Kluyveromyces lactis: one gene and its partners. The protein of the gene in region 7 purifies or fractionates together with the protein of the main gene of each other region. This does not show direct contact. Links are inferred from orthologs where the notes say so. Each region holds a gene or a part of one and is shown on either strand. Other genes may lie near its edges. The genes, in order: NOP4, RRP17, MRT4, CIC1, BRX1, NUG1 and ERB1.

The links.
Region 1: the proteins of ERB1 (region 7) and NOP4 purify together in Saccharomyces cerevisiae (affinity purification with mass spectrometry; 4 studies listed by BioGRID). This does not show direct contact. The link is inferred for Kluyveromyces lactis from reciprocal best matches to the Saccharomyces cerevisiae genes ERB1 and NOP4.
Region 2: the proteins of ERB1 (region 7) and RRP17 purify together in Saccharomyces cerevisiae (affinity purification with mass spectrometry; 4 studies listed by BioGRID). This does not show direct contact. The link is inferred for Kluyveromyces lactis from reciprocal best matches to the Saccharomyces cerevisiae genes ERB1 and RRP17.
Region 3: the proteins of ERB1 (region 7) and MRT4 purify together in Saccharomyces cerevisiae (affinity purification with mass spectrometry; 3 studies listed by BioGRID, with this or other methods). This does not show direct contact. The link is inferred for Kluyveromyces lactis from reciprocal best matches to the Saccharomyces cerevisiae genes ERB1 and MRT4.
Region 4: the proteins of ERB1 (region 7) and CIC1 purify together in Saccharomyces cerevisiae (affinity purification with mass spectrometry; 5 studies listed by BioGRID). This does not show direct contact. The link is inferred for Kluyveromyces lactis from reciprocal best matches to the Saccharomyces cerevisiae genes ERB1 and CIC1.
Region 5: the proteins of ERB1 (region 7) and BRX1 purify together in Saccharomyces cerevisiae (affinity purification with mass spectrometry; 4 studies listed by BioGRID). This does not show direct contact. The link is inferred for Kluyveromyces lactis from reciprocal best matches to the Saccharomyces cerevisiae genes ERB1 and BRX1.
Region 6: the proteins of ERB1 (region 7) and NUG1 purify together in Saccharomyces cerevisiae (affinity purification with mass spectrometry; 9 studies listed by BioGRID, with this or other methods). This does not show direct contact. The link is inferred for Kluyveromyces lactis from reciprocal best matches to the Saccharomyces cerevisiae genes ERB1 and NUG1.

The regions. Positions count from the first base shown.
Region 1 is NC_006040.1:1,003,499-1,008,385, forward strand, and holds NOP4 (mRNA-binding ribosome biosynthesis protein NOP4), read left to right. Parts: upstream 1-1,580; coding exon 1,581-3,638; downstream 3,639-4,887. Other genes in the region: CHL4 (Chl4p), read right to left, coding at 1-1,119; cyclin-dependent serine/threonine protein kinase SSN3, read right to left, coding at 3,742-4,887. UniProt on the Saccharomyces cerevisiae protein: Required for 60S ribosomal subunit synthesis. Probably involved in the processing of 27S rRNA to produce mature 25S rRNA.
Region 2 is NC_006037.1:186,208-189,774, reverse strand, and holds RRP17 (rRNA-processing protein RRP17), read left to right. Parts: upstream 1-1,622; coding exon 1,623-2,354; downstream 2,355-3,567. Other genes in the region: DFM1 (Dfm1p), read right to left, coding at 256-1,104; ERD1 (Erd1p), read right to left, coding at 2,401-3,555. UniProt on the Saccharomyces cerevisiae protein: Essential protein involved in ribosomal RNA processing.
Region 3 is NC_006038.1:1,183,922-1,187,324, reverse strand, and holds MRT4 (mRNA turnover protein MRT4), read left to right. Parts: upstream 1-1,799; coding exon 1,800-2,516; downstream 2,517-3,403. Other genes in the region: putative ubiquitin-protein ligase UFD4, read right to left, coding at 1-898; SHU1 (Shu1p), read right to left, coding at 2,610-3,125. UniProt on the Saccharomyces cerevisiae protein: Component of the ribosome assembly machinery. Nuclear paralog of the ribosomal protein P0, it binds pre-60S subunits at an early stage of assembly in the nucleolus, and is replaced by P0 in cytoplasmic pre-60S subunits and mature 80S ribosomes.
Region 4 is NC_006042.1:2,032,118-2,035,812, reverse strand, and holds CIC1 (Cic1p), read left to right. Parts: upstream 1-1,547; coding exon 1,548-2,678; downstream 2,679-3,695. Other genes in the region: ELF1 (Elf1p), read right to left, coding at 130-645; KLLA0_F21824g (transcription activator GCR1-like domain-containing protein), read left to right, coding at 3,264-3,695. UniProt on the Saccharomyces cerevisiae protein: An adapter protein that specifically links the 26S proteasome to its substrate CDC4 which is one of the substrate recognition subunits of the SCF E3 ubiquitin ligase complex. Required for turnover of cell cycle regulatory proteins CDC4 and GRR1.
Region 5 is NC_006041.1:1,577,066-1,580,611, reverse strand, and holds BRX1 (ribosome biogenesis protein BRX1), read right to left. Parts: upstream 1,879-3,546; coding exon 982-1,878; downstream 1-981. Other genes in the region: MDM20 (Mdm20p), read left to right, coding at 2,491-3,546. UniProt on the Saccharomyces cerevisiae protein: Required for biogenesis of the 60S ribosomal subunit.
Region 6 is NC_006040.1:1,172,957-1,177,139, reverse strand, and holds NUG1 (RNA-binding GTPase NUG1), read left to right. Parts: upstream 1-1,470; coding exon 1,471-3,063; downstream 3,064-4,183. Other genes in the region: SUA7 (transcription factor TFIIB), read right to left, coding at 1-539; PAC2 (Pac2p), read left to right, coding at 3,439-4,183. UniProt on the Saccharomyces cerevisiae protein: GTPase required for 60S ribosomal subunit export to the cytoplasm.
Region 7 is NC_006042.1:2,460,228-2,465,214, reverse strand, and holds ERB1 (ribosome biogenesis protein ERB1), read right to left. Parts: upstream 3,340-4,987; coding exon 964-3,339; downstream 1-963. Other genes in the region: CSM3 (Csm3p), read left to right, coding at 1-837; KLLA0_F26587g (L-methionine (R)-S-oxide reductase), read right to left, coding at 4,543-4,987.

The DNA of each region.
Region 1 (4,887 bases), on a different chromosome or scaffold from region 7:
ACCCTTATCGCTTAACTCGTGTAGACCACCAAAAATATCCTTACCACTAAGATTAATCTGAATCTTACCTTTCATTTTGGTGTCTTCATATGTGAACTTCACTCTCCTCACCGGCAGAAGCGAGTCATATTTAGTAATCTCTTTAAGGTTTGTATCAGAGTTTCCGTATACTCTATCATTCATTCTCTTCATAGCATAAATTCTCTGTCTCCTAACACCAGAAATAGAACCCTTAAACTTTAGCATTGCTATATCACTTCTTCGTCTGGTCTGGTCCTTAATTAAAGAATCTGACAGGGTATGATTTATTGGATGATCTTTTGGTTCTATTAGTGGAGATGGCTCTAGTGCATCCTTGCCCGAATATACGGACCAAATCCCATACCCTGTAGTATTTACAGACGGCAGCCCTAGAGAAAGGTTTAATTCGTGTAATGACGTGGTTGGTTTCCTGCTAATTCTTTCCAACCTGATTGTCTTGGAATGTAGCTTTGAGAATGCCAGTAATATAAGTTGTGAGTGAGTATCAGACTGCAACGAGTGGAAGATAATCGAGTGTCCCGGCATAATAGCAAAGTAGAACGGTTTGTGTGTATTGATAATAAGGTCGCCAGTTGATTCGAACAACTGAACTCGGCATATGTACATACTTAAATCATCGTTTTCCTCAATGTTAACATCCAATTCGTAAAGTCGTTTAAACTGTTCGCGCATACCATTGATAAGCTCATTCGGCTCCACATTTACGATAAATTGCTTTCCATCTCTATCCAAACATCTGGACGCTACCCATTGGTTAGTTGAAGTGTCACATAAAACAGACCAGATATCCAGTTGTGATAACTGTTCTCGAGATAAAGAAGGCCACCAACTCGTGACAGCCATATTAGCAATATTCCGTACCCCATGTTTTTTCACCAATTCAACTAAATTATCCGAGACCAGCTGTGAATCATTAATGGCATGTGTATCAAGCCAGGTAGTGATCAGTTTCACTATTGCCTGTGCACCGAGCCTAGCAAGTTTATTCTTTGTAACTGTAATATCTACATTATTATTGTCATTTCGAAGCGTGCGTTCCATCTTGGCCGTCCCAATAATATGCTGTTCACCGTCCATATAACACCATCATAAAAAGAACATAAGGATTAAGGGTCATCAAACCTTTCCATAGTTTCAGATTATAGTCGATGTTAAAATTCCATGCATTTTATATAGTATTGATTCTGACAAGAAAGTGAGAACAATCAACTAAATTGGTCTAACTGTCGTATAAGATTGACAGAATATCTTCATAGAACCAGGAAAGTTGTATTGCATCGGAGAACAGAGGTATTGAACAGCCGTATATGCCAGGAATATCCACACGTGATCTGTTCATCTCTTTAAATCTTACAGCTTTTCAGTCCGCTTGATTTCTTTTTGTCAAAAAATTTTAAAGCTCATCTCATCTCATCGCCCAAGAACCATTAGTATTGATATCTAGTATATATATAGTAGAAGGTTAATGAACACATTTATATACTTATTTTGTTAGCGTCTACATCAAACGACGCAGATTTGTGCTTAATATATCTGTGATGAGTGATAAGAAAGTTATTAAGGATGAAGGTCTTGATCTGAAGACGTTATTTGTTCGTGGTGTGCCGTTTGAGTCTACCGATGAAGAATTCGGTAACTTCTTCTCCCAATTCTCTCCTATCAAGCATGCTGTTATTGTCAAAGATGGTGAGGGTGCAAGCAGAGGATTTGGTTTTGTTAGTTTTGCAGTTGAAGATGATACTAAGACTGCTTTGAATCAGGCTAGAAAGACGAAGTTTATGGGACGTTTGTTGAGAATCGATATTGCCAAAAGAAGAGAACGTTCCCGTGGTAAAAAGGATGCGGATGAGGTATCATCAGCACCTTCCGTAGATAATGTTAAAGATGAGGAGGAAAGCAAACCCGAAGATGATAATGATTTAATGAAGGGTAAACCGAAATTAATTATCAGAAATATGCCATGGTCCTGTCGTGATCCGACGAAACTGAAGAAAATCTTCGGATTGTACGGTACCGTTGTTGAAGCTACGATCCCAAGGAAGAGAGACGGTAGATTATGTGGGTTTGCTTTTGTTACAATGAACAGGATCTCTAACTGTAAGGCTGCTATAGAAGGCACTAAGGATTTGAAGATCGATGGCAGGAAAGTGGCTGTTGATTTTGCAATTCAAAAGAACAGATGGGAGGACTATAAGAACGAACATAAGGAACTGGAAGCGTCTGATGAAGATGAGGAAGAAGAAGAAGAAGATGATGATGATGATGAGGATGATGGTTCTGATTCGGGTGAAGAGGACGCTGACAATCAGGACGACAAAGAAAAAGAAGAAAAAAGTGACATCGTCTTGGATTCTGATGAAGAAATCAGCGAAGAGGAGGAAACACCAGAACAGGATACCGTAAAGAAGAACAGAAAGGAAGATTTCTCTATTTTTGTGCGTAATGTTCCATACGATGCCACTCAAGAATCCTTAGAACGTCATTTCGGCGTGTTCGGCCCAGTAAAATACGCTTTGCCAGTGATTGATAAAGAAACTGGTTTGGCGAAGGGTACTGCTTTCGTTGCATTCAGAAGCGAAGATGCTTACAACGACTGTCTAAATAATGCTCCTGCTACAGGAAGTACATCCCTTCTAATAAGTGATGATGTTTCCCCAGAGTATGTTTATGAGGGTCGTGTTCTTGCAATTTCTCCAACTCTTGATAGAGAATCTGCTGGAAGAATGTTTGAGAGAAATGCCGAGAAGAGAAAAGAAGTTCTTGGTAAGGCACCAGGTGAAAAGGACAGACGTAATCTATATTTGTTAAATGAAGGTAGAATTGTTGCAGGTTCAAAGCTTTCACAGTTGTTAACTCCTGCTGATATGGAAGTCAGAGAAAAATCTTACAAGTTAAGAGTCGAACAATTGAAGAAGAATCCAACGTTACATCTTTCGATGACTAGATTGGCTATCAGAAATATTCCAAGAGCAATGACTGAGAAGGGTCTAAAGGCGCTAGCTCGTAAAGCTGTAGTAGAGTTCGCCAAAGAAGTTAACGAAAACAAGAGACACGCATTGAATAAAGAAGAAATCGTCAGATCTACTAAGGAAAAGTACAAGTTCATGTCTGAAGAAGAAATCGAAGCTCAAAAGAAGAAGGACAAGAAACAAGGTATTGTTAGACAATCTAAAATTATCATGGAAATTAAAGGATCTAGCGGTGGTAGAAGTAGAGGGTATGGTTTTGTTGAATTCAGGGATCATAAAGCTGCGCTAATGTGTCTAAGATGGTTAAATGCTCATGAAGTCAGTAGGGACGAAATCTTAGAAGGACTTACGGATGATGAAAAGAAACAGCTTGATGCAGACAGTTTCAAAAAAAGAAGACTGGTGGTCGAATTTGCTATCGAAAACGCTAACGTTGTGAAGAGAAGAAGAGAAAAGGTCAAAGAATCTAGATTGATATCTTTCAAGAGAAAAAGAGATGATGAAGAGAATAAAGAAGAAGAAAAAGTGGCTCAACCAGTAGAAGAGGAAACAAAATCTGGTCTAAGTAATAATATTAAACAGATTATTGGATCTAAACGTAGAAGAAAGAACAAGGGCCGTTCTTGAATGTAAACAATAGTCAAAGGCAAAAATTCAAAGCATTCCGAAGCAATGAAGTTTCTAGGATATAAAATCTGTATATTAAATAACATGCATTTCAATTATAGAATCATTTTCTCTTTTTCCGTGCTGATCCTCCGGTTGCAGTATTGCTTGTGGGGTTGTTTCCATTACCAGACACAGCAGCTGCAGCGGCAGCTGCCGCTGCTGCTGCCAAGATACGTTTGTTTACACCTAATCCGTTCATGTTCCCATTCTTATTATTATTGTTACCATGCATTGGTTGTTTTTGAGAGTGATTAGCTTGATTATTATCATTGCCGACATTCGTAATGTCGTTATCGTTTGTGTGAATGCGCCTTGGTGGGTATTTGTAGTTGAGACCCTCGAACACATTTTCACAGACAGGAGGGTCGCCGTTGGTGAAATAGACATGGTCTAAAGCGTCGATTGCATCGATTCTCTTGATAGGATCATACTGCAATAGACGGTAAAGAATGTCTAAAGCAGTCTTGTCCTTACCGCCAGCGGTCTGATACCATGCTGTTAAATTGTCACGATATTTTGGCATTTTTGCCAACTGAAGATATTCTGGATAACTGTCGATATTCGGCCATATTTTATGATCTGGCGAACCCATGACTTCCAATATTTTTTGAAACTGATTAGCTTGAAACAGAACACTCTTCTTGGACTCCATCTTGGCCTCTTCACCTTTAAAGATTGGCCTTAAACCGATGAGTTCTGCAAAAATACAACCAACAGCCCAAAGATCTATTGCAGGAGTATAATGTCGAGCTCCAAGTATAAGTTCTGGGGCACGATACCAAATTGTTACAATAACCTTATCACCAGTGTATAAAGTCTGTACCATGTTATTGAATTTTCTCGCTAGACCAAGATCACCGATCTTGACGCAGCCATCAACGGTAACCATAATGTTAGCGGGCTTTAAGTCTCTATGAAGAATCCAGTTCTGATGCAAATAAGAAACACCATCAAGAATTTGCCACATTATTGATTTGAGCATCCTTGGCGGTATTAGTCTCTTTTCAGGATGCGAATGAAAATGGATAATTTGTAAAAGATCATGTTCAGCAAACTCTGAGACCATGTAGATGCTCTTCTTCTCTAGGAATATTTCAACTAATTTCGTTAAATGGTTATTATCCAATTCTCTACAAAGTGACATCTCTCTGCATGCACTTTGTGAGATACCTGTGTAATGCTCGACACCTTCTCTTTCCGTTTTGAA
Region 2 (3,567 bases), on a different chromosome or scaffold from region 7:
CTGCAATCCTGTACCCAAGACGTGCTTCACCTCCACTCTTGGTCCCTGTGGTCATTCGTTTGCTCCAACACTTTTTGATCATCAACTATTTTCTCGCCATAACGGGCTTTTAGGCAGAACCATCATACAAAATCAATTTTCCATTGTCGACATATTTCCATTAAACCTGGGGTAAATAAAATAACACAAATGATATATACACAAGGGAGATGTAGATAATATAGATAACAGTATGTCGGATTATTAGTACCTTAATCAGTCTATTTTGGTCCCTAATCTATTTCCAGTTCCAGCGAAAGTGCTTTTCTTTAACGGGGTTCTCAACCTTCTTCTGGTCACGGGGTCTGTCCTGTTTGATGACGAAACGGGTTTGGAGGTGATGGATAGGACACGTCCTATCCATAGAATGATCGAGGAGAACCATCTTGGTGATCTGAAATGACCTCTTCCAGAGAATCCGTACGCTGGGTCCTTCCCCATCAGATAACCGTACAAGGGACCGTAAGTCCATGTGTCTAGGCAGGAGTAAACGTATCCAGCACAAAACCCGACCATTGTGACGCAAAACCTGCTGTAACCATCGGTCCCGTCATCAAATAAGAACGAAACGAAAAGATGCACTAGCGATAGATATTTACCCAAGATTGGGAATAATCCGTAGAACATTACCTTCACGTTGCTGTTGTCCAGAGTCCACGTATATAGGATCATTCCTATGAATGCGTTAGTGAACACTGGGTATGAGATCTGGCATGCTTCTACGAGCACGACGATCAATGCAAAGTTGAAACATATGTAAAACAAATAATCGATGGATTTGTTGCTGAAGTGCACTAATTCGAGATGTAACGATTTCGAGTATACTGCGTATAGGTCGAAACATGCTTTCATGGCATCGTTTGGTAAGATGAGGAAACTAGTGAACAACCTCCAGATTTGGAACTTGAACAATACACCACGTAAAGACCATTTGAAATCGCTGAAATAGTACGGTAATACGTTCAAGCGTTGGATCAAACATATTAACACCATTAAGAGACATATTCCTCGGGTCACCGGTGGAATTTGTCCTACAAACTGTATCAATTCGTTACGCATAGTCATGGCTGCTATGAATAATCACGCGTATCGTATATCCCACTGATGTTACTGAATGGTACCTCCGGTGTCTATCTTGACAGCGCATCTGTATAGTGAGTATAAATATCTTTCTTTCACTGCAACTTGGAACTGAAATTTCATAGAACCCGAAAATTAAAGCTATGGGAAAGACATAGATAGGAAAGCACAGAATGACAGAAATTGAATAGTTAAGTAATGATCCTCTACACAGGTATACGCCTAGATTTGTTTTCTACTTAGTGCATGGCAGAGCATATGAATTGGTCTAGATAAATTAGGTCAGGACGGCTAGATTGCCCTTATGCAATCATGTTATAGTTATCTATGTATTTCTTTCTGTATCTCGAAGTTTCAATATTTGGAAAAAGCATTAAAACGGAAAAACTTGCTGATGCGATGAGCTGAAGAAAGCAGATAGGCTTTTCACTTACTGAGGTGGTGCTGAGACCGGTTCAAGTTCTGCAGAAGATACAGAGTAGCAGTGTGGATATAGAGTGAAAATGGTGGCAAAGAGTAATCGTGAGATTCTTACCGGTGGTAAATCTTACAAGCAGAAAGCTGCTAAGAAATTCGGTGCTGATGAGGTAAAGTTCGATAAGGACTCACGGTTGGAATACTTAACTGGGTTCCATAAGAGAAAGCTTGATAGACAAAAGAAAGCCAAGGAGTTCATCCAAGAGCAAGAGAGAAAAGCTAGGCTCGAGGAAAGGGCCAAGATCAGAGCAGATAAAAAAAAGGCTCTTGAGAAACAGCTTGAAGATTTTAAACAGGCGATGAAAGATGTCGGTGATTATGTCGGTGTAGAGGACGACGACGAAGAAGCCGAAAATGGGAAACAGGGAAGCGATGAAGAGGCTGAAGAATGGACGGGATTTTCCGATGATAACGGAGATGCAACTGAAGAAGAAGAAGAGGATTCTGACTCTGTTAGTGTGAAACCGATCTTAAAGAAATATGTACAGACTTACTTAGATGATACTACGGTAGACATCGAACCCTTAGAGCCCAATGACAATTTTGAGTACCTTGCGGAATTAAATAATGTGAAGTTAGAGAAATCGGAACAAATTTTAGATCAAAGCATCGAACGTGCGAAGAAATATGCAAAGTTTTTGGGAGTTGAAGAAAAATCTGGTAATAAGAGTAAAAAGAATAAGAAGTTCAGATACTTGACCAAGAACGAGAGAAGACAAAATCAAAGAAAGGCCAACAATAATAAACGTAGGAAGTAATTAACCTTTTTTTTTTATTTATTATCTTCCTCTCTTTCTAAACATCTCATTCATCCATTTTCCCCCCCTCTGTTGTTGCAATGTATTCTACCTCGACTTTAAAGAATAACCAAATCCATCTTCTGATTATCTCTAAAATTTGTAACCAAAAGATGTTTAATTCCCCATAAAATACAGAGTGCCCACTGATATACTCCCAGAACCATACGAATCTCAAAATAAAATCGAGCGCCATAGCGCTATAATACCACGCATTTTTCCGGTACAACAAAATGCTTCTTAAAAGACCGTCCGCTTTGTTACTACTATTATTGTTATTGACACTAGTGTCCCCATTCACAAAATCGAACAGCTCTAGTTTCCAATCCATGGTCACATCCCACCAGAATGAATACGCGGAATTCCAAAACATGAACCAATACATCATTCCAAGTGGGCCCAGGTTGTAATATCTTGTATAGACTGTAACTAGCATGATAGGAATATTACCAGCATACTTAAAAGCATTGAACAATTGTGAACCATCTTTCTTCTGAGACCTTCCTCTTGTAAATTCTCTTAACGATTGAATCATTCTGACCAATGAGGGCAAGACTCCAACAAGTACGTCAATGTTTAACGATATAGCATTTTCATATCTTTCCACTTGACACTTGACGTTTGTTGGATCATGGAAAAGGAAAGTGGCATAAATAGCTAAATCCACCAATGGCTTAGAGTACGAGGTCAAAGTATCACTAATTATAATATAGTTATTCCTATACGGCTTTGGTTCAATGTCAGCTACCCAAAGTATTCTTTTAAAGCACCTTGCGACCATTGCTGATGACCTTAATATCATTGCAAATATGTAAAACAACTCCAGTAGTGGTGAAACATTCAAAAAAAACCAAAGCAATTTGTTGGATACGTTATTAGTGAAGGAGTATTGGAATAAGATTATACATACCAATTGCCACGGTATAATGACTCTAGAGATTGACTTGAACAGTTTCAGGCTTGATTGGTGTATTTTCGTGGATGTGTTAAAGTAAGGTAGTCCCGTGGACTCATTGGATACAATTACTTTGGACACGTCGTAGTAGGATACTGATACCTTCAGGAACCATGTCCATAGCCATAACCCTAATAACACAAGGACAACAACTCTCTGTGGGATCGGTAGGTAAACCAGAAAGGGTTCAACAGATTCGGCGTCCATGAATGCACGTAT
Region 3 (3,403 bases), on a different chromosome or scaffold from region 7:
AATCCAAATATTGCAAACAAGAGAGAAGGGTACCGCTTCTTAAAATCTTAGATCCATGTACCCTTGAAATGAACTCTAAACACTCCAAAACTTGTTCTGCCAAATCGATATAGCTTATCTCATTCAATTTCCCTCTCAATATCTCAATAATATCTCTATTAACCGAAACCTCTATCATTTCTGGGTTCATCTCATAGTAGTTATAGAGACACCTACAAGCAATTAATTGTAACTCCAACTCTGCTTGTAATAATGGGCTAGACAATACATGGATCAAAGCGTCCATTAACTTGCCAGATGGGATGATTCGATCAGCGATCAAAGGGTTTAACATCAATAGCTGTTCAGATAATTCCCGGAGAGATTCCATAGCAATATACGGATCGTCTTCAGCTTGAAGCACATTCTCAATCAATTTCAAATACCGAGAATTTCCTCTGCTAACACCGAAAAACCCTTCAGACCTTCCTAGTTCTTGCAACAGATCTGGCAATGAACGTCCAAATGCACGCTCCGAATCAGCTTCCTCGCCTTCAGCAACATCACCATCCCCACTTTCACCAGATCTTTGATCCGCTAGACGAGAAACAATATCTTGTAGAAACGAAATCCTGTCCGCACGGTCCCCAGAACGGCTTTCATGATAAACATTCCCTATCTCACCTTCTACTTCCTCATCGTCTTGATCTTCATCTTGATCTTCGTCCAACTGCTCTCCTTGCGATCCATCTTCTTCCCCGTCTTCGTCTTCATCATCATCATCATCGTGATGGACAAACTCTAAATCATCTTCATCCTCTGGATAAGAATATTCGCCAGATTCAACATCATCACTTTCATGGCTACCGTTCGCATCTTCATATATGATATAGTCGCCATCGCCATCGTAATAACTCATCTTTTCAAAACCCTTTCCTGTTTCAAATCACAAATAAGAGGCAAAATTACTATCTAAAATTTCTAGTTCACAACCCGGTATCTCTTACCACCTTAATAATTGGTATCTTAGAGGTTGTTAGACTTTGGCAAGCAATACAAGAGGTATGTTTAACTCGCCGGCTGTTCATATCAAACCAACTAGTTTGTTTCCTGCTAAATATGTACTGAGATTGCAATTTCCTGACTCTGAACTTTTAAGGTACATTTTGGTCCGGTACACTGCGGTTTTATCTGAGGAAAATATACACAATACCCGTCGCCACAAGTAATGAGTCACGTGACTAAGTTTACTTCCCCATTTACAATACATCTCCGGTAATAGGTTAAATCATTACCACTATATCTACTTGCCCGATACACGATCATGCCCTATCTGTGCCTTTCTAGTCTTGATATTTGTGTTGAATTGAGATCTATTGTCTCATTGGCAATGAGTGAGAGACTCAGAAATCAGTCAAGGGAATTCATACCGGAGTTTGGTTTTGCAGTTCCTTAGAATAAACCTCTCTAACCGAGCTTATGAGAATGGCCCTAGAGCATTGCAAAAGAGCCGGTATATGTCTTACCGATTCACTTTGTGTCAGAGGTCGTTACTTTCCGTTTGGAAAAATCAAATCACGTGACTCACAACTAGAAAGAAAAAGAAAGGCGCAAATTTTTCAGTTTGAGAAAGCTCATCTCATCGCATCTACTCGATGGACCTTTCATAGTTTAAACTGATCAACAGTACTAATCGCTATATTCTATCAGTTGTATTCCTCTTTATTTATCTCTCTTCTGTAATTGAATAGTGTTCTGATAATTGTTTACTTTTCGTTACTCTTTATCATCAAGCTACTACATATACCAACCCAGATACGATGCCAAGATCTAAGCGTTCAAAGTTGGTTACATTGGCCCAAACCGATAAGAAGGGTAGAGAGAACAAGGAAAGGATATTCGATGAAGTTAGAGAAGCCTTGGATTCTTTCAGATACGCTTGGGTTTTACATTTGGAAGATGTGAGAACTCCAGTTTTGCAAGAGATTAGAAGTTCTTGGGTTGGATCCAAGTTAATCATGGGTAAGAGGAAGGTGTTGGTGAAAGCGTTAGGTGAAAAGCCAGAGGAAGAGTACAAGGAGAACTTGGCCAAACTATGTAAGCACTGTTCTGGTGTTACTGGTCTATTATTTACCAACGAACCTGTCGATGTAGTGGAAGATTACTTCAAGGCATATGTGAGAGCTGATTTCTCCAGACCAAAATCAAAGGCTCCATTGTCTTTTACCATTCCAGCCGGTATTGTATACTCTCGTGGTGGTCAAATCCCAGAAGAAGAAGATGTGCCTATGATACATTCTCTGGAACCAACTCTAAGAAACAAGTTCAAGATTCCAACCAAAATTAAGAATGGTAAGATTACCATCGAATCTCCATACTTGGTCTGTGAAAAGGGCAAAACTCTAGATGTTACTCAAGCATTGATCTTGAAACAATTTGGTATAGCAGCTGCTGAATTCAGGGTGAAGGTTGCCGCATACTACGATAACGAAACTTCTAGTGTGGAACAGATCAATATCAACATGGATTCGAAATAAATCCAAAAATAAGAAAGCATTGCAGTGATAAACTATAAATATATATATATAATCATAACCTATATATTTCTCCTTTGTACATTAATCTCTTCTCTAGGAATCCTTTATCGAATACACGTACTGCCAATATTCGGTCAGATTCTTCCAACCTTGAGACATCATTCCCAGATCTGTCGCTGACACCATTCTGATACGCACAGCGTACTGATTTTCCAGTCGAAGCGATCCATGAAGGATGAGGTTACAATGTCGCAGCTGGGAGATTGACAGATCAAGAGTTTTCTGTGTCTCTTCTGATTCCAATTGTTCTTTCGTCATTAACAGGGACTCTAAACCGTAGATGATAATTTCTTCATAGCACATCGATGTGTTTCCTTTATTCTGGAGCTCAATCTCGACATATGTCAAGTACATATATAAATACTGTAATTTATCAAGGAACAGAATCCGCACGTTGGATCGTCCCCTGACTATATCATCAATACTGTTAAAGAAATGCGTCTTGTTTTCCCGTAGATCTTGCTCGAAGAAACTTCGAGCCTTAACGCCAACTGCTATAACTAGAACTTTCTTGTTACGGTCCAATACATCACGCAGTACATCTTCCATCGGTTTATAAGGATGAAAAATAATCTTAACCAATGCTATCCTACTAGGAAATACCTTATCCTAATAAATTAATTTCACGCTTGTAAGCCGGTACATTAATTGTTTCAGATGCGTAATAGCCTTGACGGTTTGAAATGTTGATACTTAGACCACATAAAACACGTGATATTTAATTACTGAGAATATATCAAAGTATCAACTCGTATACAATGATCTGGAAAATTTTATTGAATTGGTGAATTGGACAGTTGGTTATCGTAGCGTTTGGTATATTAAAT
Region 4 (3,695 bases), about 430 kb from region 7:
CGTAAATATCAGCTCCTTTATACCTGATTTTATTCGTTCTACTAGTATATCTCTGGGTAATATATAGATAGATAGATACAATTGTAAGATTAATATTGGTGTTCGATGTCTGTGTTTCTGTCGGTTCGACTACTCGTCATCACTGTCCATCCATGCTGCTCTTCCTCTTTTGTTAGATATTTTACCGTCATCGTCTGAGTCTGATTCTGGTTCTGAGTCTTTTCGTTCGGTCGCTCCTTTTCTTCCGTAATCCGCATCTTCGTCTTCTTCTTGTTCTTCTTCTTCTTCTTCGTCAGAATCTATTCCAACAGCTTTTCTACGGTTTGAAGAAGGCTCAGTATCAGAGTCACTCTCGTAGTCACTGTCACTGTTTTCATCTTCAGATTCGCTATGTTTCCCTTCGTTAACTTCCTCAACCGCATCAAACCAGTCACTATATACATCTACCGGTTGTGATAGACCATTAATGCGGGTTTGGAACGATTGTCCACAAATCTTACAATGAAGCGAGCCAATGTTATTCTTTTTGTCCATTGTTACGCTCACAGAGCGTTCGTGATTACAGAAGAGACAATTGAATGCCGTATCTAACCTCTGTACTATCTTCTTGGCTGGACCTCTGGATGACTTCTTTCTCTTACCCATGTCTAATGCTCTTCTTATTTGTCTTGTGAGAGCGTATGCTTACCCCTGCGGCTAGATTTGATTAATATATGCTAATATGCCTTTTGCAGTATAAATGAACGGGGACGATGACTATGTTTACGATATAATAATAATAATAATAATAATAGCAACTTAATAACTCATAAATCAGATTCGTGCGGCGTATTCTCTGTTAAGGTATCCTTTATATCGATCGTGAGTCCTGTTTGACAGCCGAAAAAACCTAACTCAAAAATAGTACTGTTCCGAAATAAACCAGAGAAAGAAACCCTAAAATACACAGTTTAAGCCCTTTTGTATTGTAACCCCATTCACTGAACGTAGCCCGTTGCTCATTAGTAACTTTTGCACAAACACGCACCGAGATTCAATATCAGATTCGGTTACTCTTTATTTCTTAAGTGTCAAATGTTATCAAATTTCAAGAAAAGTTTCAAATCATATATTACGGCCTTCGCTTTCAAAAAGCAATATTTACTAACTACGTGAACACAGTGGAGCTCCTGCGAAACAGAAAATTTTTATTTTTGACAATAGAGAGCTCATCTCATCATAGCTCATCTCATCTCATCTCGAAGTATGTTGCACACCTAACACGATTAATAAAGTAATGGTATGTAAAGTATTTAAGTACCTATTCTTATTTCTCAGCTCAAAGGATTGATTAGATATATACTGGATATTTCATAGTTGCCAGTACGAACTCGAGAAGTAAGCTTACCTAGGTGAACCAACAATTTGTTGATCTTTTTCTGAGACAGTGCGAATCAAGTAAGTTAAAAAACGCTTGGAAAGAATCCAGAATATAGAGGAAATAACTCCACTCATCCAGTCTAGTATATCTACAAGCACATTATAAGCAATATCAAAGTTTAGATAATATGGCAACTAAAACTAAGAAAAGCAAGGTTTCGACCAAAGCCACCAAGGCTACTAAGGGCAGTAAAGAGGAAGAAGTCATTCCAGTTAACAGAGTTAACAATGCTGTTATTAAATTGCAAGAATATTTGAAGGAAAATGGATCAAATGACAATCAGTTAATTGATGATTCTGAATTGGAGGCTCAGCTACAGTTGATCCTAGTCAACACTGAATCTTTTACTGGTTCTTTGAAAAACTTCAAACCAAAACTAATTACAGTTCCTCATTCTATCTTCAAGCCATGGAAGGAAGCTAGCACCACCATGGTTAAAGATTTCAAGACTCTTTTGATTCTAAAAGATTCTGATATCAATTCAGTGACATCAGAAGACTTGATCGATCTACTTCCAGAACATATTACTATTGATGCCATCATATCTGGTAAAGATTTGAAGACAAAATACAAGGCTTTTGAAAAGAGGCGTGCATTTGTACAGGATTTTTCTTTCATTCTAGCTGATGACTCGATAGTGACAGCTTTGCCCAAGCTATTAGGTGGTAAAGCATACAGTAAGTTGAATACCACTCCAATTGCCATTAACACAAGATCGGATAACAAGTTTAACAAGACAACTTTGGTAAATAGCATCAAGAGAATTTATGATACTAAAATCCCAGTCAAACTTCCAAGAGGTAACACGATGAATGTTCATCTAGGTTCATTGGAATGGTTCACCCCAGAACAATTGACTGAAAATATCATTTCTGTCGCTAAACAGTTCATCGAAAAGTACAATATCAGAACCATTCTTCTCAAATCTAACGAATCACCAGTCCTTCCATTATACGTTAATTTGGAAGTATTAGACAAATTGGTTGGGTCCAGACATGATGCTAAGACTTCCGTTCAAAATGTCATAGAAATTGATGGTGTCGAATTGCAACTATCACAATTTGAGAAATCTTTGTTAGAAATTGCAAATCCAGACGAACTAGACTCCTTGTTTGCTACGCAAATTAAGCAAGCCAAAAGAAACTTGGAAGAGGTCGAGGCAGAAGAAGAGCAAGAAGAACAAAAGAAAGAGCAAACGAAAGAACAAAAATCCAGCGCTAAAAGACAAAAGACAAAGAATAAAAACGTAAAAAATTAGAGGTACAGGAGTATCGCGTTTTTTTTCATTCCTCTTTCTTAATTTCTATCCTTCACAAATATCGTCTTAAAACTTACCCATTTAGCATAGATTTAACGGCTGTCACCGCTCCTACAATGATAGTTTTCCCTACAAAATGTATTTAATCTGTACTCAAATTTTCCAGATAGCATCGATACTTTGCAATTCATAAAAGAATAACAGTAGTTAAATTCAGTGCGTTTTCGAACCAGCAGGAAAACGTTATTCCTAGTATTGTTTGGATGGTGCAAACCCATCGCCGCTCGAACAACTTTTCTGATGTGCCACATTTAGGTTTGCTGGTTTTTCTGTGTGGACTGGTGCGTCCATGCAGTCAGTGAAGGAAAAGGAAAAACGAAAAATAAAAGTGTCACAAAAAGATTTAATTACTATATTAAACATATGTCAAATATTATATAAACCACAGATTTCACAAACTTTCACATCATCACCTCTGTTATTCGTGCTTATTCGTAGTTTAGTATATACACTATTATTTACATCTGAATCAATTAGTATTTTCAAGTTTTGATTGCATTGCGAAGACGCCGAGAATCAAATGAGATGCCACAGAATATTGAACGAATAATTCATACATTCCAAAGCAGAGTAGACACTTTACAAACTGATTGGAACGTTTTATGCGACGCAGTGTGTAATAGCAAGTGTCAAAGTGTCAATGGTCAAATTGCCCTGTTAAAATCTAAGTTAGATTTAATACAACAACAGCATACTGGGATTATTGTTGATTTAGGAATCATTAAAACACATCTTTTAGCTCATGATTTGGATATGAATAACCAGTTTTTAACCGAGGAACAAGAAGTGGATTTTGACGTAAATAAAGAGAATGAAGATCCTCTACCTCTACTTGGAATTGATGAGACTGAAGCTGACATTTCGGAAGGGCCAAAAGTTTTCAAAGAAGAATTTAAAAATGAAATTCTTTTCAGTAGTCTCAGCAGAGAAGCGGAGAACGCATCGCGAGAAATGCCA
Region 5 (3,546 bases), on a different chromosome or scaffold from region 7:
CAGTAAACTGTGTGAGGTGTATGGGTGTGTTGAAGAATATGCTACGTCTGTTTCTGAGCGATTTACTCTTAAAAAGCGTGTAAAGCAGGATTTCCTTTCTCAAAGCTGAAAAATTTCAAAGTTTCGAATTCTTCTCACTAGAAAGAACAAGGCGGTTTTGAGCGAACTTTTGCACTGGATCAGATGCGTTATTAGTGGTATCCTATACACCTTTGTTCGAGATTCACTCTGTTAGAATATAGACCAAGAAAATAATTTGATATACGATGAGTGCTGCATACACAATTTTGGGTAGAACTGTTCAACCACATCAATTGGCCCTAGGGACTTTAGGTGCTGTATTATTGTTGGTTATTCCAAACCCATTCAAGTCTAAGCAACCAGCCAAGCCATTATACTCTACTTCCTCTAAGGGTGAGGAAGATTTCATCAAGGCTTACTTGGAAAAGCATACTGCCAACGCTGAAAAGCACTAAAGATAAAAGTCAGGACATTTTTACTTCCTTATTAATTCTACCCACTTGACTGTTCAATTCACGTTTCCTGAAAATTATACAGTATGATTTGTTATTACTACGCATAACATCTTCGTATTTGGGGAATAGAAGAATGCAATGGCATTGGGCAAGTAAAATATTAATAAATCTATTAAAATTCAAACAAATGATAAAAAAAACATTTCAAACAGCACACTGTGGTTCACACCAAATGTAAAAACGTTTTCCCCATGACGTTTCATGACGCTTCAAGTTTAACTGGTATTCTGGCCCCCCAAGTTAACTAAATAAATTAAATATTCATGTACGACTTTAACGTATAGTATAGTTAGGAATAAAACGAAAAATTATATTATCAAAAACAGCCCATTCAAAAGCATATATATAGGAGTATACATATGTACAAGTCTGAGCAGGAAGAACGCCGTTCTCCTAAGTTGACAATATATAAATCATGATTTTTTCTAGAGTTCTGGATTGTACTTTAATCTTTGAACAATGCATCGTTGGATAATGGATCTACAGCCAAGACACTTTCTCTCTTCTTTAGTTTCCTTTCAACAGCAGCTTCGGCTCTGGTCTTAGCTTCCTTGGCAGCCTGTTGTTTAATTTGAGATCTAACGAAGTTTGGCGATACGTATTGTCTGTTTTCGTAGATCTTTGGACCACCAAATGAACCTTCAAGGATCAAAATCGGTGTCATCACGAAACGTGGGCCAATTTCAACTAACGACGTTTCATCTTCTTCTTTATCCTCATATTCAACGTTGTTCCTAGCTTCATGCGAGATCTCATACGTTCTTACCCAGATCTTTTCGTCAACTATACTGAAAGACATGATATGGTCAATGAATGGCTTGGACTTTCTAGCTTGAGGTGGTACACCGAAGTTATGGATAAAAAGTTCTTTAATTAAACGGTAGTGCGGTTCAGAATCAAATCTACCATCAAATGACAATATTGGTCTGGATCCCTTCAAACAGTTGCCAGTGAAGTTTAATTCGTCCATGGTATGTAGGTTCTGCAAATAAAACTTGATTGTTGGTCCATTTGGTGGCTTTGATAGCCATAGGTACAAATCCTGGTGCTTTCTAGCTTCAAAGAATATAATGTTATTACAGTTGTACAATTCCGCAATCTCATTCAATTGTCCTAGATCCTTCTTCGTGTCCAACTTAGGTTCCTTTCTCGAATGTGGTAGAAGACTGTTCAAATCCTGAACCAAATGACGATGTCTATAAGTAACACCTCTGGACGTAATAAGTAAGGTACGTTGCTTATTCATGAACTGTTTCTCATTACTGTCACTGTTAGCCGCATTATTTTTGTTCTTCTTACCGTCTTTATCCTTACGAGACAAAGTCTTGAAAATACTCGACATTATAGAAGGATTTGCTTAGCAGTTCTTGGCTTTTTCTTCCTTCCAACTACTCAAGTGTAATACAATAATCTCAAAGTGTTTAGACCGACGATGTATAGATTGGAAGGATCAGGACAACCTTGTTCAATACCTCTTCTCATCTCATCTCATCTCATCTCATCTCATCTCATCGCCTTTTCTAACTTTTCAAAAATTTTCAATGTACCGAAAAAGAAACTAAGGCTCATCAGTGATGATTTAAAATAGAAAAGGATAGTTTCTCGAAAAGAAAATGTTCGTATCGTCTGCCAACTGGCTTCTATCAGATTCAACGCGGGTGGGGATTGTATGGTGAGGTCTTGCGTTTATATTTCAAGCAGTAAGAGCGCTGATGCCCTTGTTAGGCTGTGCCGTTTACATTTATGGATACACATACAGTTATAGTTTATTATCCGGGTAATCAAGACTGAAAAATTACGATATTGGCTTAATTCAGCATTCAAACTTCTAATGAACAACCTCATACGCACGTCGTTCGTAGAACAACCCGGTATGTCTGGCAGTAACGGTGTTCGTTGCTGTTTGATCTGTTAGATTTGATATCGACCAACACGAAGAGTGGAAACTGTTGATATGAACTCTGAAGATCATCAGCTTTTTCAGCTATTAGATAGGGAACTGTTTAAGAAAGCTTCACAGTTTGTTGCATCATTGCAGAAACGGTACCCATCCGCCACTTATTACAAAGTGTTAGAGCAATATGTCAAGTACAGGCAATCTCCTGCGAAATATAGTTTTGAAAATGGGTTAAAGTTGATCTTGGATGCCAAATCTCCTCCAAGCGATGCGAAATCGCTATCAATGTGCCATCGATTTTTGTTGGAATTAGGTTTTGACACCACCAGTGCATTGGAACCTTATGAAAGAGCAATGATGAAATACGGTAATTCGGAGACATGTTATGATTGGTTCTTGGAGTCATTGAGGGATTTAAATTGGAGACATTTGAGTAAGAGTAGTTTCCAGATGCCACGAGTCAATGAAAAATCGAAATCGAGATTGTTCCAATTCTGGAACAGTATTGCTACTGTAGTATGGTTTCAGTTGGATAAAGATAACATTAACGAAAGGGAATTGGATCTTTTACCTAAGTTGACATATAAATTGACAAGCGATTTGAAACCTTTTGAGAATGAGCAAGAGTTGATCGTTTTCTGTAAAGTTTGTGAATTGTTTGAGGATAAATCACAGGAGATCGTGGACGAGATCCTCAAGTTTTGGAAACATGGTACTTACTTAGACCTTTATTTGAAAAACTTCCTTATGGGCCATTTGGTGAAATTAGACGATTATAAACTCATTTGGAAACATGGAATCTCGTTATTGAATAACCTTGACGATTATGGTATTTTGCAAAAGATTATAGATGCAAGTTACAAACTTGGCAAGTCATTCGATGAGTTATTGGAAGTTTTGGAAATCAAGAATACGAGAAATTACATACTAGCAAGAGTCGCAGCAGCAAAACTTTATGACGATAGGCTAGATCACTACCTGTTTCAGTTCATCGAGAAATATCATGATAAACCTAGTTGTCCAATCGATCTTCATAGCTTGGAATTGAACCCAGTGAAAATCGAGACCATGTTTTCAAAGCTGCCTTCGGGGCTGATACACGACAAAGCTGTT
Region 6 (4,183 bases), on a different chromosome or scaffold from region 7:
ATAACTGAAGCCATGATACTTTCCTGTGATTTCCCCTTCAAGACTCTCTCTTCGAAGCATAATTTATAAGCTTCTTTAGCACAATCTTTAACAATCTTGGGCAGTTCTGCAGCATCACACATCATAGTAATCTTCGCATATGCAGCTTGCAACTCGTTATCCTTCTTGTCAACGATAGATTTCGACTGAGCCCTATTCAAATCCCTAGTAACTCTAGCATCACTTCCCTGGGCCTGCCCGATACGTGTGGTTAAATGGTTTCCATCCAACAAAGGATTTGAAGCTTCACCAACACGACTTGGATCGTCTCCATTCTGATCGTCATTGCTAAAAGTACGCCATTCTGACCTGGTATCCACAATTCTATCCGATAAGACTAACCCACATAATGCACAGACGATATCACCTTCACTAAACCGTTCCACAACTTTCGGAGGATAAACTTTACATTCGGGACACGATATAACAATGTTCAAATTTGGCCCCCTCCTTCTAGATGAGACAGCTACATTTGCTGAAGCTGCTGCTGGCAATGACATAGTTTCTCTTTTCTCTTGCCTCGGTATATGACTCAGAACAGCCTAAAAAAATAGCTGGAAACTGAACGGTAAGAAGTCGAATGATGAGCCGCTAAGATAACTAAACTTAGGCGCTGCTTTTGTTATAAAAGAACAGAAGAAATACCGATTAACCAACTAGTAGACGGACAAGACTGTGTAAGTTGCAACTGGATAGCTCCTTATCATTTTAGTTTCTCAATTTCTAAGCAAAAATGCTGGAAACTCGACGGAAATATATATCACGTGATAAACGCCACAGAAACAACCGTGGCATGTCTCTTGTTTACGGTTGATGAAAATTTTCACGAGATCCGGGTAACAAGTAATAACTTCGCAGTTATTACTACACTGACTGGAAGTAGAGAGGATGAGAGATGTGGTAAAACAAGTTCCACCCTCGCAACTTCGTATCGTATATCACGTTATATCAGTTCTTATTACTGAGATGATTTTTGTTCCCTGCTAGTGTCAAAAAAAACTGCGCAACGGCTACTGGGCTGCCTTTATATGTACTGACAGTTTCACTGCCCTTGACGGTATTACTGTATATATAATGTTAAATATCTGCCTGGAAGTGCTCATAGATATACCAAATACGTCCCAAATATTATTGACACAAATTATGGCTTGCGAGTAGCATAAGATTGCCTCGTAATTGACGAGTATCCACTGTGTTTCCACTGTCGTCCGCCAGCAAAAAGAAATTCTTTTCTACTTTGAAATTTTTCAGCTCTTCGAAATATGTTAAAACCTGCGATGAGATGAGATGAGATGAGATGAGACTTGATATTTACAGAACACCTGTTCAAGTAGATGTTTCAGTACTGTTTTCCGTGATAAGTTCACCGGAACAGCTAAGATATCTATAATCCAGTGCAGTAAATATACCTTTTTCCATTAATCAAAAGAGATGGTGAGAGTAAGAAAGAGAACTTCCAAGAGAACTTCCACTCGTATGAAGGAGGGTATCAAGAAGAAGGCTGCTGCTCAACATAGGAAAGAGCGGAAACTTGCTAAGAAGGATGTGACATGGAAATCCAATAAGAGTAAGGATCCAGGTATTCCGGCCAATTTCCCGTACAAGAACAGGATCATCGAAGAGATTGAAGCGAAGAGAAGAACTGATTTGGAGGAGAAAGAACGTAGAAAGCAGGAAAGGTTAGAGGCTAAGAGAAGAACTCGTGAACTAGGTGAAGATGTTGGTGATGACGATGAATCTATGGATGAAGATGAAAACGACGGCAACAATGGTCTTTCTGCTTTGTTAGAATCCGCTCAGCAAGCTGCAAAGGAGTACAATGGGGAAGGTATCGATGATACAATGAATGGAGAGCAAGAGGATTTAGAGGTTGCTGAATACGACGTAGACTTTTACGCTGACGCAGATGATGATGATTCTGAATTAGAAAAGTCTAGAAAGGCTTACGATAAGATATTCAAGACTGTGGTGGATGCGTCCGATGTTATCCTTTACGTGCTAGATGCAAGAGATCCAGAAGGAACTAGATCGAGAAGAGTGGAACAGGCCGTGCTTCAATCCCAGGGTAAGAGACTAATTTTGATCTTGAACAAGATCGATTTAGTGCCACCATACGTGTTGCAACAATGGTTAACCTTTTTGAAATCCTCGTTCCCTACTATTCCATTGAGAGCTGCTCCTGGTGCCACTAACTCCACATCTTTCAACAGGACTTTGACTCAGGCTACAACTGCTTCAAGCTTGTTAGAAGCTTTGAAGACTTACTCCAATAATTCAAACTTGAAGAGATCCATCGTTGTTGGTGTCATCGGTTATCCAAACGTCGGTAAGTCGTCTGTCATTAACGCATTGACCTCTCGCCGTGGTGGTTCTTCTAAAGCATGTCCAGTGGGTAACCAAGCTGGTGTCACTACATCTATGAGAGAAGTCAAGGTAGATAACAAGCTAAAGATCTTGGATTCTCCAGGTATTTGTTTCCCAAGTGAAAATAAAAAGATGAGTAGAGTGGAACAAGAAGCAGAGTTGGCCTTGTTGAACGCTCTACCTCCAAAATTCATCATAGATCCTTACCCAGCTGTGCTCAAATTAGTGAAGAGACTTTCTAAATCTGAAGAAATGACTGAAAGTTTCAAGAAGTTGTACGAATTACCACCTATCCCAGCTGCCGATGCAGACTCTTTCACCAAACAATTCTTGATCCATATCGCCCGTAAGAGAGGTAGATTAGGTAAGGGCGGTGTTCCAAACTTGGCCAGCGCTGGTATATCCGTTCTTAACGATTGGAGAGATGGTAAGATCCTAGGATGGGTTCTACCCAATGCTTCTAAGGAATCTGCTGCAGAACATGCTGCTACATCTGGTGAAGCTAACCAACCAACTCTAGGTACTGGTGCTGTCGCAGCACCAGCTAAGGTGGAACAAACGACCATTGTTCAAGAATGGTCCAAGGAATTCGATTTGGATGGTCTTTTCGCGTCATTGGATAACGCCATTGAAGCTGAACAAGACAACTTAGGTAATTGAGAACACAGAAAACGAATTATTCTGCATCTCTATGAAATACGATCAAGGATCCTATTGCTTATTTTATTTCGCATCGTTAAAGCTATAGATTTAAAAGCTTATGTATTAGGATGTGAATTTGAACACCCGTTTCAGTCCACGCACCTAATAGACAATACACATTTGTACACTACTACATATAAATGATTTAATATCTTCTTCGGCAAGACGTTTTTGTCATCTCTTTTCTTTAGGTAACAAACCTTTAAATAATACTTTAAATGCCTACTAAAATCAAAATGTTTAAAAGAGTGAAGAAGAGAAATAATCCGTGAGTCTACCATACGAACTCCAGGCTACACTATGTGTACAGCGTGACTAAATCTAGGGCCAAATATGCAGATCAATGTCAATGATAGATTGAATATAGGAGGTGAGTTTTGCACAGTACGATACATCGGATCATTGCCAGAATGGCCTAATATCGTTGCATATGGTTTAGAGTGGGACAACAAGCAAAGAGGTAAACATGATGGAACGTTAAACGGAGTACGATACTTCAGAACATCCGATGGACAGAGCAGTGGCTCATTTGTGAAGGAGACTAAACTAGATACATCTCGGCAAGAGAGAACATCGTTTGAAGGTGCATTATTGATGAAATACGGTGATACTTCATCAATCGATATTACCTACAAATTTGGGTCGAAAGAGACTGAGTCATATGGATTTGAGCATTTGAATGAAATGAACTCTGATTTTGACAAGTTGGAAAGTATCACGCTATCAGAAAACAACATTTTCCGAGCTTTCAAGACAACCTGTTCGAGCATTCCGTTTAATAGTGCTCATTCTTCTCTGCGATACCTTGATTTATCCTTCAATCTGTTTTCTGACATAAATGAGGTGTACCGCATACTGCGACTATTTCCATCTGTCGAGACTGTTATATTGAGTGGGAACTGTTTCACGAAGTTAGAAGCGGATTCCAGTGAACAGTTTGAATTTTCCAATGTCAAAGAACTATCAATGGCATGTTGTAAGCTCCGAAATGGAGATATAGAGACAATAATAGAGGCTTTCCCTCAAATAAAGGCGCTAGACATTTCTTCAAACTTGCTATCAAAACTTCCAGATGTTT
Region 7 (4,987 bases):
AACATGAGGCTTGATTTTGAATTGGATCCTACTGTGAATGGCCTGGATCCTTCTATGACAAGTACAACTGATGGTCAAGATCCCACGCTCATATCTACCAACACCCGGAAACCAAGGGTAAAGCTTACTGCCGAGAAGTTATTGTCCACTAAGGGTCTGCCGTATGTCATGGAACATGCTCCGAAAAGTTGTAGAATCAGCAAGCACAAGACAGCTTACGATAACTTAACAAACTTCTTACAATTCTATCAGCTATGGGCTCATAATTTGTATCCGAAGGCAAAGTTCAAAGATTTCACCTCATTATGTGAATCATTGGGGAAAACTGACAAAGAGCTAAGAGAGTATAGAATGAATTTAGTTAGGAAAGACATGGGTATCCTCCTCGGAGATGACATTCCCAACGTACCTGATATGCAAATGCACGACACAGGCGTACTACCTGCTCATCAGGGACGAAATAGCTTATTTGTAACGGATGAATCTACCTCAGCGACTGACCGCGGAAATGCACAGTATGGTTATGAAGCCACCAAAATTATCAGCCTAGACAAAGACAAAAATCAGAATAATGACGGCAACTATGACGATGATGATGATGATGATGATGATGATGATGTTCTATATTCTTCGCATCACCAGCGGCACACGAATGAAATGTTGTCCACCACTGATACAAACATACGGCAACATACACAAAATGGCTACGCTCTGCCTAACGCTGAAGAGTTAGACGAATTGAGTAAAATTACGACCGTTGCCAGCACAACAAATAACGGTAATGATATCGCATCAGATGAGGAAATGGCAATGATGAGAGACATGGATACCTTTTGAGCTCTGATCCAAAGATAATAATGTATTCCCTTGAACACTAATTAGAAAGTATCTACTTGTAATATTGATAGGTAATGATGTCCATAGTATACAGTGTTTTACAAATATCCCGTCATGAGGGTTCTATCAGGTAGTCCACAAACGAGCGGTTTTGTCGGCACCTGCAGAGAATAGCCAAGCTTCACGTGGATGCCATATAGTATCTAGAACACCTAAACTATTCACAATCTTGTGGCCGGTTAGTTTCTTCAACGGGACGATCATAGGGTTCTTCATTAAATCGTCATAGACCGTGGCATGGAAAACATGGATGTTACCATCATCCGCAGCTGAGCAAAACAGTGGTAGTTTCTTGTGGAAACTTACGCTTCTTACAGCCTTCTCATGGTATCTCAAGGTCTTATATGGAGTGCTTGCAAGGTCAAGATCATGCCACAACACTCTCTTGTCAAACGAGGATGCAATTAAGTTATCACCTCTTGGGTGAATATCAATAGTAGATAACCAACGAGCACCAGGTAGAAGTTTCTTGATTAGCACTTGTTGCGATAGGTCATAAATTCTGACGTATCTTTGAGAACAGACCAAGAGCTGTGGCTTGAATGGATGGAATTTTGCATCCATAATGATACCCTTAGATTTTTTGAATGGCGATTGAGTTAAATGCTTGGATAATTGATGAATCAAAACTGATGTATTACCTGAGTCTGGTTGAACAGTGACAAAGTAATCACCTTTTCTATGCCATGAAAGCTTTTTCACTGATTTACGACAAGTTATTACGATACAAATATCATTGGCAGCTTGCCTTTCGGTTGGTTTATTCCATTGAGCAACCTGTTTCTTGACAGCATGTGATTCAGCACCGTCATCCTCATCATCGCTATTCACATTGAGATTACTCTTTTTGACGTTTCCGAAAGTATCGAAACCAAAACCGTATTCAATCTTTGATTTACCTGTGTTTTCAATTTCAAAGCCGAAAATTGGTGGAACAAGCAAGAAGATGTTTTCGCCAGCAGTAACCGCAAGGATACCGGTAGTACTGTCGGGATTCCATTCAACAACGTCTATGTGGTCATCATTGTTTTCTTCCGCATTAAGTATTGTGACTTGGTAAACTTCTCTACCTGTAAGAATTTCCCATACTCTGACAGTGCCATCATCGGAACCAGTAGCCAACCATAATCCAGTTGGATCAATGGACATTGTACGAATTTTTCCTTTATGACCGACATAAACGGTAGAGCAACGGATTGGAAATGGTCTCAAATCTTTTGTAGAGGGCAATTCTGGGATCAAAGATTCAGGATCAATGTTCAACTTATTTTTGCGAACACGAGGCGCTAAATACAAATCTAATGATCTTTCAAACCTTTCTCTGACAGATTCAGAGTAACCTGGAACTTTTCTTAATGCAGCGAATTTGTGAGGCACAAAATTTCTCTCTCTTTCACTTGGTTCCATCTTTTCCCATGCATCAATTTCCTCTGGGGTCAAAAGATACTCTTCCGGAGGGTTGTAAGACTCCTCATTTGTTGGTGGTGGCAATTTTGGGGCTCTCAAGTTCATAACATGTTCAGAGATTTCTTCGGCATCTCCCCAGAGATCGTAGTTATGACTGTCTTGTTCTTCTTTTTCTCTTAATTCCTTTAGTTTCTTTGGTGGGATAATTCTACCTTCTCTGATTGCTTTGACTATTTTCATCACACGCTTGGCTTCGTGCTTTGACGGAACGAAACGTCTTTTCGGTTCTGGGACGGCCGTAACTGGCATTACAGATTCGTGTCTAGTGAACCAGTCGATTAAAGGTTCGTATGGATTCACAGATTCGTCCGTCTGTTGATTATTTTGCAACTTATTGATTAATTCAAGTTCTTCTTCGGTCAAATTCAAAGAGGCACCGCTGTCTTTGTCTAGTAAACCTGTCCAACCCTCTGGCAATTCTATAGATTCCAATAATTGATCTAAAGCAGATCCTTTGGCTGGTCTCATTATTCTCTTACCATTAATGTCATAACCAATATGTGGCATTTCATCATATGCAGATAGTGGGATGTTACCAATTGTGTTCTTAGCTTCTGCATCACTATCATCACTATCATAAACAGGATTAATTTCTGACTTAAGAATTCTTGGTCTTCCATCTGAATACTTGGTACGAACAATGCCTTCATCGCTTGTTTCTGGAATCACTGTTAACTTTACATTTGACAATTTGTCGGTAATGGAAAAAGCATCGCCTTCTTCAGAAAAATCTGAAGTATTATACTCCTCCTCCTGTCCATTTTCTTCTTCAGCTAATAAGCGATTGAATTCAGCATCAGAGTCGTCATCTTCAGCTTCCTCAGCTTCATTTTCGCTAGCCTCTTCATCGATTAAACCATCAACTTCAATTCTTTCATCTTCAGAATCGGACAATTCAGATTCCTCGAGAACTCTCTTTTTTACAACAAGCTCCGCTGATTCAGAACCATTCAAAGAAGAATTCTTTCTGGCCATAGTTTCTGGTATTGTTTTCTGGCTCTCTATACTTTCAGAGCTTCTTCTGATGCCGTTAACTTTGAGAAGTACTGGTTATCTCTGTGGTCTATTCACTTCAGCTCATCTCATCTCATCTCTCAAGATGAAAATTGAAAATTTTAAGAAACAAAAAGAAAGAAAATTACGATACATTAATTACTTCTACAAAGTTTTGAACAAGAATGCTATTTTGAAAAAGTCAAAGTACCCTTCAGCAAAGATAGGGAACTGGTATTCAATCAACTCCACATATACTTCTACTTACGTTGAAGATATTTACTTTGGTCGCTAGCCTACAATGAATGTAATTCTTAACTCTTATTTTTTTTGCATCATAGACAGTTATCTTAGTTTTATTCTAGTAGATGCAACATCGTTTTCAAGTTTGTAATTTCATCATTGAAGAAGCTATTTCCAGTAAACTTCATTATTCCAATTTGGGGCGCTGATAAGAGAGACCTATTTCGTTTCTTCAGAAACTCTTAACGATGTAACATATACTCATGTAGTTCTCTCAGATCTTGTTGTGATATGCCTTGGATGATAGTTGATTGATTAATCGCCTGATGAGGGATCGTTGATATCAAACAATATAACGAATATAATATAATAATCTATTTAGTTAGATCGTTGAGTATATGCGTCCAACCTCCCCAAGAGGTCGCAACATAGCTCAGCCTTTTATACTCGACTTATATACTCGGATGGTCGTCAGACTTCGTCATGGCAACTCATTGCCTCCATGCCCTTGTAGGTCCTCTGCAGCTACCGTCCTCCACGCGCACTCAAGACCATCACGTGACCGTCTATGATCCATCTAGGCCATCCCTTCTGGATACCACAGGATCCATATGCCCAGTCACTGACGTCTTGGAACTCTGCCGTGTGCTGGCTAGCTCACATGACCTCTCGTCTGGCTTGTCTTCAGTCTATATTACGACAGACCTCACAAGATGGTTTCGTGGTCTAGTCGGTTATGGCATCTGCTTAACACGCAGAACGTCCCCAGTTCGATCCTGGGCGAAATCATTTTTTTCATTGAAAACTAGAAAACTTCTGTTCCACTGGACCTGGGGCAGCATGCCCTATGTTAGGTATGCAATAACAGGCAACTTCATATACGGTCAAGAGTTGTGATATCAATTGAGAGAATATAATTAACGAGTGTAACTACTTAATGAGTTAGAATACGCATGTCTTTGAAACTGAAGCGGCCAATTTTTCTAGAAATTCTTGGTCAAGCTTAGTAAACCCGTTGTAGTCCAAACAGTCAATATCGATAACACCTACTGTTTCGCCATTTTGGACTATAGGAACCACAATTTCACTCTTTGTCTCCCCATCACATGCTATATGCCCTGGGAAGTTTTCAACATCTGGTACTAATTGAGTTTGTTGACTAGACGCAGCAGTACCACACACTCCTTTACCAAATTGAATCAACTGACAAGCAACTTTGCCTTGAAATGGCCCAAGAATCAACTCTTTTTTATTCTCTCTCCGAGTGAGGTAGAACCCAGCCCAGTTAACGTCAACATTAAGTGATATGTAACAATGCCAGATTAATGATGCGGCGTTCGCCAGATTGCAGACCCAGTTGTCTTGACCTTCTGCTAAAGCCTCATAT